3 linked regions of the Canis lupus familiaris genome follow. The protein of the gene in region 3 interacts with the protein of the main gene of each other region in a biochemical or structural test. Links are inferred from orthologs where the notes say so. Each region holds a gene or a part of one and is shown on either strand. Other genes may lie near its edges. The genes, in order: CHEK2, MAPK7 and PML.

What was found.
Region 1: the proteins of PML (region 3) and CHEK2 form a complex in vitro, tested with the Homo sapiens proteins (2 studies listed by BioGRID, with this or other methods). The link is inferred for Canis lupus familiaris from reciprocal best matches to the Homo sapiens genes PML and CHEK2.
Region 2: the proteins of PML (region 3) and MAPK7 form a complex in vitro, tested with the Homo sapiens proteins (2 studies listed by BioGRID and IntAct, with this or other methods). The link is inferred for Canis lupus familiaris from reciprocal best matches to the Homo sapiens genes PML and MAPK7.

Annotation. Positions count from the first base shown.
Region 1 is NC_049247.1:22,510,155-22,514,289, reverse strand, and holds the start of CHEK2 (serine/threonine-protein kinase Chk2), read left to right. Parts: upstream 1-1,307; 5' UTR 1,308-1,401; coding exon 1,402-1,533; intron 1,534-1,620; exon of another isoform or gene 1,621-2,065; intron 2,066-3,743; coding exon 3,744-4,071; intron 4,072-4,135. Other genes in the region: iron-sulfur cluster co-chaperone protein HscB, read right to left, coding at 675-910. UniProt on the Homo sapiens protein: Serine/threonine-protein kinase which is required for checkpoint-mediated cell cycle arrest, activation of DNA repair and apoptosis in response to the presence of DNA double-strand breaks.
Region 2 is NC_049226.1:41,046,180-41,048,869, reverse strand, and holds the end of MAPK7 (mitogen-activated protein kinase 7), read left to right. Parts: coding exon 1-263; intron 264-369; coding exon 370-1,025; intron 1,026-1,419; coding exon 1,420-1,553; intron 1,554-1,700; coding exon 1,701-1,854; 3' UTR 1,855-2,108; downstream 2,109-2,690. UniProt on the Homo sapiens protein: Plays a role in various cellular processes such as proliferation, differentiation and cell survival. The upstream activator of MAPK7 is the MAPK kinase MAP2K5.
Region 3 is NC_049251.1:37,693,900-37,697,548, reverse strand, and holds part of PML (protein PML), read right to left. Parts: intron 3,374-3,649; exon of another isoform or gene 3,041-3,373; intron 480-3,040; coding exon 1-479.

The sequences.
Region 1 (4,135 bases), on a different chromosome or scaffold from region 3:
CTCCCATCTCCGCGTGTCCACAATCCTGGAGGCTCCTTTACTCCCTTATTATTATTTTTTAAAGGTTTTATTTATTTGTTCATGAGACACACACACACACACACAAACACACAGGGGCAGACACACAGTCAGAGGGAGATGCAGGCTCCCTGCAGGGAGCCCGATGTAGGACTCGATCCCAGGACCCCAGGATCACGCCCTGAGCCAAAGGCAGATGCTCAACCGCTGAGCCACCCAGGTGCCCCCCTACTCCCTTCTCTTGATAACACCTAAGTACCCCTTTCTTATAAGTCTCAACCCAACTTTAACCATTCTGGCCCTGTCGCTCAAGTCTTTCTCCAGCCCCTCCAGGTCGCTTCCGTCAGGCACCCCCCCCAGGTCTCCCTCCACCGAAGCCTCCACCTTTCAGACCCCCTAAACGCCTTCCCCCCCTCCCCTCCCGCCATTCGGGTCTCCACTCCTGAGGCCCCAAGCTCAGTCCCACCCCTCAATTTCCTGTGGCACGGGCCGCAATCCCACCCCGGCGCTCCCGGGCCCCACCCCCCTTCTCTACGGCTCCGCCCACCAGGCTAACCGGTCCCGCCCTCTCCTCCCCAGGCACTCTCGGCCCTAGCCCCTCGCAGGCCGGCCCACGCCTCTCTCGTTCGCGCGTTTCCCGAAACCGCCTCCCGTACCAGTCCATGAGGCTGAAGTAATCTCGAGTGGGGTCAGGCGGCTGCAGCGCGCGGCACTGTGGGCAGAAGAACCCGTCCCCCCGCGTGGGGCCCCCGGGGCCGCCGCAGTTCCAACACTGGGAGGAACCGCTCCCCGCCAGAGACGCAGCATCGCAGCTCAGCGGTCTCCTTCCGAGGGCCCCTGCCGGCCACAGCCCGCACACCCGGAGCAAGGCGCCGGTCCTCCCGCCCCACATCTGGCCGCGGCCTAGGTCGCCGCGGGCGCCTGGGGCGGGGGGGGACCGGGAGAGAGAGATGGAGAGCGACTGAGCAGACTAGTGCTGCTGATTGGCTGGGGGAGCTGACGGGGCGGGATCACCCGGTGGGGGCGGGAGGAGGGGAACCTGGACTCGGAGTGTCCCGCTCCTCATTTTAAACTACAACTCCCAGCAAGCATTGAGGCTACGTGTGGACGGCCACATCCGCTGCTCTTCATTGGTCCGGCGGCGAAGGCGGGGTGTTTTGATTGGCTGAGGGTGGAGTTTGTATGTGCTTGGTTAGCGCCACTCTGCTTGGATGTAGCTGCTGTGAGTGTTGGCTCTAGGTGGGCTCACGCGGTGAGTCGTAGTGGGGAACTTCTCCTGGGTGTTGGGGGGTTCGAGTCCCGTCCCCAGGGTCTTAATCCGCGCCGAACCTCCCGAGTTTCCACTTTGTGCGTTTTTTGACCTCGGTTAGGGTGAGGAGAGGAATGTGTGGGCGACTGTCTTCCTTTGTAGATGAACTTCGAAGTGAAGTTCACTTCCCCTGTTACTTACAAGCTGAAACTGGCCCAGACGTGCAGGATGAGAAAGGACGAAGTTGTGTTCTTCAAAATCAGAGGGTAACTGATTTTGATCTAGCCAGTCGTTGCTTTGTAAAGAGTTATATAAATGGTAGCAATTATTACCATATTTTAGATTCAATTTCGAAAAAAACCTGTTGAGAACTCAATCTTAGCAGCTGGGCGCTGCAGGAACTGGGGCACACTGACTTGTGTAGGAGGATGCCCTGCGAGTGTCCATAAGTGAGTGTGTGGGATAAGAAAGGGTAGGAGGGCACCAGCCCACCCTGGGACTCAGTTTCTCTATTCGGAAAAAAAAAAAATGCGTTGCACTTATCAACCCCTTTCCGCTGTCGTATTCTTTGGGACTGGAATTATATTCTCCCAACTATCGAGCAGTACCGGAGGAAGAACATTCCTATATCATCTCATTTAATCCTCAAGATCTCTCTACCTAGTGAAGTTGTGATCTACCTGAAGATCCTGCAGAGCTTTGAGTCAGGCATCTGACTCCAGACTTGTCTCTAATCTTTCTATATACTTTCTCCTCATCGCTGAGGCTAGTGTGGTTTTCGTTTGCTGGACCATTAAGGTAAGCGAGGATAATAGCCACTTCTTGACAGTCTTTTGCCAGTTCTCAGGGCAGAGAAGTTTTGCTCAAAAAGCTGTGAAAGATTGCACCCTTGACTGAGGTAGTAGTATTAAAGCACGAGGTCCTGGAGTGGCACACTCAGCTCTGGCATCATCTTCCTGGTGTGGTTTAAGAAAAAGTCATCAGGATCTTTGTATCTAGAAAGCTGTATAAATGCAGTCAATGTGAGTAATGTCTACTATGTTCTCCTTGGAGGAATAGCCTGAGTATGGGTATCTGGAGAGAAGAGACAATGCACTCCCCCCCCCCCCCCTTTATAAAAATCAGATTAGAAATTTAAAGTTAAGGATCGACTGTTACTTTGACTTTACTGTAGTTTCTGTTATCAGAATTTAACAGTCCATCAAATTAATTCTAAAGTGGGGGTGGGAACCTGTCAAGGTCTCCTGTGACTCCAATTTTTTTCTGTAGGATTCTACAAAATCCTAAGGGCTAGAAGGCCATTTAGGATGCTGAAAAGGTGTGCCCTTATGGTTACTCAGCATAACAAAGGGCTAGGTGGAGTTGTTTAGAGTAGTCTTCTTTGTGATGTGCTTCATTAATAGGCTGGCCTTTAGTTAGGAGTCAGGGAATCTAGAGTGAACAAACAGGATGTGGTCTTCATCATCCTGGGGCAGGCTTGGGGGAGGAGGGGTATCTGATATTTTATGTAAATGGTCACCCCTGGCAAGGTGCAGTGAATTATAGTTTCTCTTTGCTATCTTCTACCCCCAAGCCACATGGCCCTCCCCCTTCTTTCTTGTTCCAAAACATGAAATTTAAGTGTAGTGTTGATTGTATTAATGAATATCTTTTAGGTTTCATTTCTAGTTTTTAAAAATTAGATGAATATAAGCTGTTATGAGTCTTCCACCCCTAATTTAGTTCATTTCTTTTAACTTATTTATAAACTTCAAATAATTTCTTTCTTTTCCCTGTGATTTGTGGCTGTCATAACAGAAAAATGATCCAGTGAAAGTGATATAATGAAAAGCTCATCTCAGAAGAACTGTAGATCAATCTAGACTTAGAATTTTAACTTTAAAAAAAAAAAAAAAGAATTTTAACTTTTGCAGAACATGCTTGCTCTGAATTTTTTTTTCCTGATGTAAATTTGCCCATCCTTCACTTTTTTTTTTTTTTTTTTGAGAGAGAGAGAGATAGCCCTTGCATGGGGGTGGGGAAGTGGAGGGGCAGAGGGAGAGGGAGAGAGAGAATCCCAAGCAGGCTCCATGCCCAGAGCCGGCATGCTGCAGGGCTCATCTCATGACCCTGAGATTAGGACTTGAGCTGAACTCAGGAGTTGATGCTTAACCAACTGACCCATCCAGGCGCCCCTGCCCATTCTTTTTTTTTTTTTTTAATTTTTAAAAAAATTTTTATTTATTTATGATAGTCACAGAGAGAGAGAGAGGGAGGGAGAGAGAGAGGCAGAGACACAGGCAGAGGGAGAAGCAGGCTCCATGCACCGGGAGCCCAATGTGGGATTCGATCCCGGGTCTCCAGGATTGCGCCCTGGGCCAACAGCAGGCGCCAAACTGCTGCGCCACCCAGGGATCCCCCCCTGCCCATTCTTTACTTTTGAACTTCAAGTCTTGTTCCTTGAAACTTACCTTATTATTGAACACTTATTTTTGAGGTCGTGATGTCTCGGGAGACGGATGTGGAGTGTCAGCAGTCCCATGGCAGTGGTGCTTGTTCGCAGTCCCAAGGCACTTTCTCACAGTCTCAAGGCATCTCCTCGCAGACACACGGCTCCTCCTCACACTCTCAGGGCACATCCAGCTCCACCAGCACAGCACCCACATCTAGCCAGTCGTCTCACTCCAGCTCAGGGACCCTGAGCTCCTTAGACACAGTGTCCACCCAGGAACTCTGTTCTATTCCTGAGGACCAGGAACCTGAAGAGCCTGTCCCTGCCCCTTGGGCTCGATTATGGGCCCTTCAGGATGGATTCCCCAATCTTGGTAAGACTGTTTGATATATTGTATAATATTTTAATTGTTCACAAACACAGTTACAGATAGTTGT
Region 2 (2,690 bases), on a different chromosome or scaffold from region 3:
GCAGCCTGTGGCCAGTGAACCTGGCTGCCCTGATGTTGAGATGCCCAGTCCCTGGGCTCCCAGCGGGGACTGTGCCATGGAGTCACCTCCACCAGCTCCACCGCCGTGTCCTGGCCCTGCACCTGACACCATTGATCTGACCCTGCAACCACCCCTGCCAGCTAGTGAACCAGCCCCTCCGAAGAAGGAGGGTGCCATCTCAGACAACACCAAGGCAGCCCTCAAAGCCGCCCTGCTCAAGTCCTTGCGGAGCCGGCTCCGAGGTGCCTTGCGGAGGCAGCAGCTGGCCAGGGAGCGGGGTTGCAGAGGGGTACTCCCAGTTTGGACAGGCCGCAGACTCTTATCTTCTCCCTGCCAACTTCTCTGCAGATGGCCCCAGTGCTCCTCTGGAAGCTCCTGAGCCTCGAAAGCCGGTGACTGCCCAGGAGCGTCAGCGGGAGCGGGAGGAGAAGCGGCGGAGGCGGCAAGAGCGAGCCAAGGAGCGGGAGAAGCGGCGGCAGGAGCGGGAACGCAAGGAGCGGGGGGCCGGGACCTCTGGGGGTCCGTCCACCGATCCCCTGGCTGGGCTGGTGCTCAGTGACAATGACCGCAGCCTGCTGGAGCGCTGGACTCGCATGGCCCGGCCCGCAGCCCCCACAGCAGCCCCAGCCCCAGCCCATGCCCCAGTCCCAGCACCCGCCCCAGCTCAGCCCAGCAGTCCTCCTGCTGCCCCCCCACCAAAACCAGCAGGCTCCCCCACTGGTCCTGTACCGCAGCCTGCTTGCCCAGCCCCTGGGCCTGCTCCTCACCCCGCCAGCCCTCCGGGGCCTGTCCCTGGCCCAGCTCCACTCCAGACTGCCACCCCTAGCCTCCTGGCTCCCCCTGCACTTGTGCCACCCTCTGGGCTGCCTGGCCCCGGTGCCGTAGCTGTGCTGCCTTACTTCCCATCTGGCCCGCCCCCTCCAGAGCCCGGAGGGGCCCCTCAGCCCTCCACCTCAGAATCCCCCGACGTCAACCTGGTCACTCAGCAGCTGTCCAAGTCACAGGTGAGAGGCTGTGGAGAAACCTGGATCTGGGCCCAGGGAAAATGGGTTTGAGAAGTCCTTGCTGTTTGGTGGGGGCGGGGGGACAGGAGAGGCTTCAGTGTACCTTTATTCCATGAAAACTGAGTGGCAAATGGGGTTTTATCTCTGAACTTGTCATCTTGCTCTTAGAAGGAGCTCAATGCCAACGAACCGGTTGGGAGATGACTAAGATGCTTCCTAAGTTATGCCTGGTCTGCAGACAGGCCCTTGACTGGCACTCAGCAATTGTCCAGGCTGGTGCTGTCCCCAACGGCTGTCCAGGCAGAGTCACTGACAGGGTCGGGACAGAGTTGCGGGATAACCTCTGTCTGCTCTTGATACTGCCTGTGTTGTAACCTGCTGTCGCCTGTTGCAGGTGGAGGACCCCTTGCCCCCAGTCTTCTCGGGCACTCCAAAGGGCAGTGGGGCCGGCTATGGTGTTGGCTTTGACCTGGAGGAATTCCTAAACCAGTCTTTTGACATGGGAGTGGCTGACGGGCCACAGGATGGGTAAGATGGCTGGACCAAGCTTCTGGAATGGGCCTGTGGGTAGGGTTTCCTGGTGCAGGAGGAGCTTGCCTGTGGGATGGGCAAGGAGCCAGCCTAGGCTAACAGGGCCTCTCCCCTCCGCTCTCCCTGCTTCCCTTTTTCCTGCAGCCAGGCAGACTCAGCCTCACTCTCAGCTTCCCTGCTTGCTGACTGGCTGGAGGGCCACGGCATGAACCCTGCCGACATTGAGTCCCTGCAGCGTGAGATCCAGATGGATTCCCCGATGCTGCTGGCTGACCTGCCGGACCTCCAGGAGCCCTGAGGTCCACAGCCTGTGCCTTGCTGCCCGGGGCGGACCCAGCTACAAGACTCACAGGAACATTTCCAAGAGCTGGAGCCTTGGGCCCAGCAGTGGAAACTCAGCTTCGATTATTCTGCAGGTTCATCTCAGACACACTGCAGCCTTAAGCAGCCACCTGAGCCACCGCCAAGCCACGGCAGGATCAGGAAACCTCTACTCCCTGAGCGATCCTTTTCAGTATTGTATTTTTATTATAATTATTATTATTATATTAATATTGTGACGCCATTTCTTTGCCATCAAAATGAGCCCTGTGAAATATAAGATTCCCTTTAGGGCCTAACTCTAGGTGTCTTTTTAGAGTTGAGGTCAGGGTGTTGTCAGTAGGGGAGCAAGGAGGAGCCAGGTTCTTGTATTTGAGACCCAAGCAAACACGATTGCATGCACGACAGACAGCCAAAGCCAGTTCATTCAGATCCTGAGCTTTATTGAGATCTTCACTCCCCACCTGCTTACAGCCCCTCAGAGGTTGTCCTCTGCCCACCCCCTACCCCCCCACCATGTTCAGACCTCAACTCTAGGGCCGGTGGGGGGACCTGGTATCTATGCCTACCTTGACTGTAGCTGTTTTTAGAGTGGCGTGCAGTAGCTGTGGTGACATACGGATTTAGCATTGAGCTTTGGGGGGCTGGGACAGGCGGGTGGGAGCAGCAGAGTAGGGCCATGAGGTGGGGGTGGGGGTCCATGGTGCTCCCCACTAGGGAATGAGTTGTGGGAGGGAGGCCAAGGATGGGGAGATGCTCTGAGGACAGTGGGGGGGCATGCTGGGGTGTGGCAGCGATGGCCACGCACGGGTG
Region 3 (3,649 bases):
GGCGCAGGCGGTGGAGCGCGTCGCGCAGGAAGCCGTGCATGTCCAGCACCTCCTGGTCCGAGGCGTAGAGCTTCATCCTGCGCACCAGCGCGCTCCCCGTGCGGATGCGCTGCAGCACGGCCTCCAGGCGGCCCATGCGGCCCGCCAGCTCCTCGTAGCAGCGCTGGTACCGCGCCGTGACCCCCGCGAGCAGCTCCTGCTCCCGCGCCAGCACGTGCTCCACCAGCTGGCGCACCCGTGCGTGGATCAGCGCCTCGGTGTCGGCGCGCGCGCGGCCCAGCTGGCTGACGGCCGAGTGCATCTGCGCGTGCGCCGCCCCGAAGGCGCCGTCCTGCTCCTGCAGCACCCGGGCCATGGTGTCCAGCTCCTCCTGGCGCTGCTGGATCTCCGCGCTGATGTCGCACTTGAGCTCGCCGTGGCTGCTGTCCAGGAGCGCGCACGAGCAGCACAGCGGCTTGGAGCAGCCTCGGCAGTAGATGCTGCGGACACACGAGGCCGGCGCGGTTGAGGGCTCTCCTGCGCCCCCCCCCCGCCCCCCAGCTCTCCTAGGGAGACTCCCCTTCGAGGGTGACCTCGAATCGTGGCATGTTCCCCGGTTCCGTCTGTGGCCAGCGCGATGGTGTCCAAACCACCAATAAAGCATTAGCACAGGGAAAGGTACTGAGGTTCCAACCGCTGGCCTCCACCCAGCCTCCACCCAGCCTCCAGCTAGCCTCCACCCAGCCTCCAGCTAGCCTCCACCCAGCCTCCACCCAGCCTCCAGCTAGCCTCCACCCAGCCTCCACCCAGCCTCCCCCTAGCCTCCACCCAGCCTCCAGCTAGCCTCCACCCAGCCTCCAGCTAGCCTCCACACACACAGGGGATCAGTGCTTCACACACTTCTGAACTTCCTTTCCCTTCCTGCGAGCAACCAGATGAGCGTCCGGATGCCTCCTTCCAGCCCTCTGTCTGCTTTAAACCACTTTGCACAGATAGCCAGGCTATGCAGCTGCTCGAAAGGATCTTAAGGAGCTGAGGCGACGCATCCCGTGTAATCCTCACTAGAGTTTCAGAGGCGAGGAGAGCTACCGTTACCCTCATTTCACAGGTGAAGAAACAGAGGCCCTCAGAGGTTAAATAATTGCCCCAAGTATCTACAACAATTCTAGTAGGTTGATACTTGGTTTACAAGAAGGATCATGCTACAAATGAGATCATGAGTCATGACTCTGTAACTTCCTCCTCTAATTTAACTTTTGCTTAGGACAACATTCCTGGAGGTCTGATGAGTATGGGTCTAACGTATTCTCTTTAAAAGCTCCCTGAAAGGGGATCCCTGGGTGGCTCAGTGGTTCAGTGCCTGCCTTTGGCCCAGGGCGTGATCCTGGAGTCCCGGGATCCAGTCCCGCGTTGGGCTCCCAGCATGGGGCCTGCTTCCCCCTCTGCCTGTGTCTGCCTCTCTCTCTCTCATGGTCTATCATGAATAAATAAATAAAATATTAAAAAAAAAAAAGCTCCCTTAAATTCCATGTGTACCACAACTGATCCAGTCAGTCTCCCGTTATGGACAATCCAGTGATTTCCTATTTGTACTCCCCCCGCCCCTTAATGCCAATATGGACAATGTTAGGCCGCTTTATGTGGCCTAACGCGTCTTCTGTTCTATGAAATAGGTTACAAATGATAGGAGTGCTAAATCAAACCGTATGCATGCTTTTAGTTATTTAATATATTTTAGCTAGCAGACACTTCTATGGCATTATTATAAACACTTGAGGAATATCAACCCTTTTAATCCTCCTAACAGTCCTACAGAGTAGGAATTATTATATCTTCATTTTTTTAAAAAAGATTTTATTATTTTACTCATGAGAGACACAGAGAGAGGCAGAGACACAGGTAGAGGGAGAAGCAGGCTCCATGCAGGGAGCCCGACGCGGGACTCGATCCTGGGTCTCCAGGATCACACCCTGGGCTGAAGGCAGCGCTAAACCGTTGAACTACCTGGGCTGCCCTTATATCTTCATTTTATTTTATTTTATTTTATTTTATTTTATTTTTTTAAATTTTTATTTATTTATAATAGTCACACACACAGAGAGAGAGAGAGAGAGAGGCAGAGACACAGGCAGAGGGAGAAGCAGGCTCCATGCACCGGGAGCCCAACGTGGGATTCGATCCCGGGTCTTCAGGATCACGCCCTGGGCCAAAGGCAGGCGCCAAACCGCTGCGCCACCCAGGGATCCCTATATCCTCATTTTAATGATGGGGAACCTGAACAAGAGGTACAATGACTTGTCCAAGGTGACACAATTAGTGAGTGATAGACTCTAGAGACAAACTGTAGTAGGCAGAAAATGTACTAATAATCCCCAGAACCTGTGTATGTTACCTTATATGATGGCAAGGACTTAGTACATGTGATTAAGTTAAGGATCCGGGATGGGAAGATTATCTTGGATTATCTGGGTGGACCCAGTATAATCACGAGGGTCCTTATAAGGAAAATAGAGGGGGAAGCAGGCAGGCGTGAGGAAGAAGATTTGATCATGGAAGCAGAGGTCTCATGATGCTATCCTGCTGGCTTTGAAGATGGACCGGGGTCATGAACCAAGGCAGCCCCTAGAAGTTGGAAAAGGCAAGAAGACAGATTCTCCCCAAGAGCCTCCAGAAGGAACACGGCCCTACTGACACCTTGATTTTATCTCAGTGAAACCCGTTTCAGGCTTCTGACCTCCAGAGGTACATAATAATAACAACTTTGTGATATTTCGCTATACCTTTCTCTTCCTACCATCTTGGGGCCTGTGGAGGCTTTTTTTTCCTTTTTTTTTAAAGATCTTATTTATTTATTCATGAGAGATACACAGAGAGAGGCAGAGGGAGATACACAATGTAGGCAGAGAGAGAAGCAGGCTCCTCGCAGGGAGCCTGATGTGGGACTCGATCCCAGCACCAGGACCATGCCCTGAGCCAAAGGCAAACGCTCAACTGCTGAGCCACCCAGCCGTCCCAGGGCCTGTGGACGCTTGCTGGGAACAGGACTCTTAGAATGACAAGTATGTCCACAGGGCTGTGGTGCTAGGCCGTGTTTGCTGGCTATACGTGGGGTTTCCAGAACCAGAGGGAGCACACAGATCTTCTTAAAATTGAAGGTGTTTATGCGTGAGATGAAACTGAATTCCATCCAGGCAAGAGCTATGCTTACGTGAACAAAGCAAAGAACAACAGGGTGACTCCCGGTGGCAAAACAAACCAAACCAGAGTAGTCTGGGGAGAAGCAATTCATGCTTGTGGAAGCAGTGGCATGGTTCATGCCAAATTCCCAAGCAACCTTCCTGCTAAAGCCATTGGTCATAGAATTCATGTGATGCTGTACCCCTCAAGAATTTAAACTTACAAGTAAATACATAAAGGTGTAGAAAAGAAAATCAATTTGTAATGTTTTAAGCTCCCAAATTTGCAGTAATTTGTTACAGCAGCCATAGGAAACTACCATAAAACCCCAGGCAGTCTGGCTCAAGTCCATGGTCTCAAACACTCCAATGCTGCCTCTTCCAACACTCCCAGGAAAATACTGTTAGTCATTTCCCCAGAAATATTGCTGTAATTTGTTCTCACTAGCAACGATAGCCCACCTGAGGCCAGGAGAAAGGATCTTAGCTGGAGC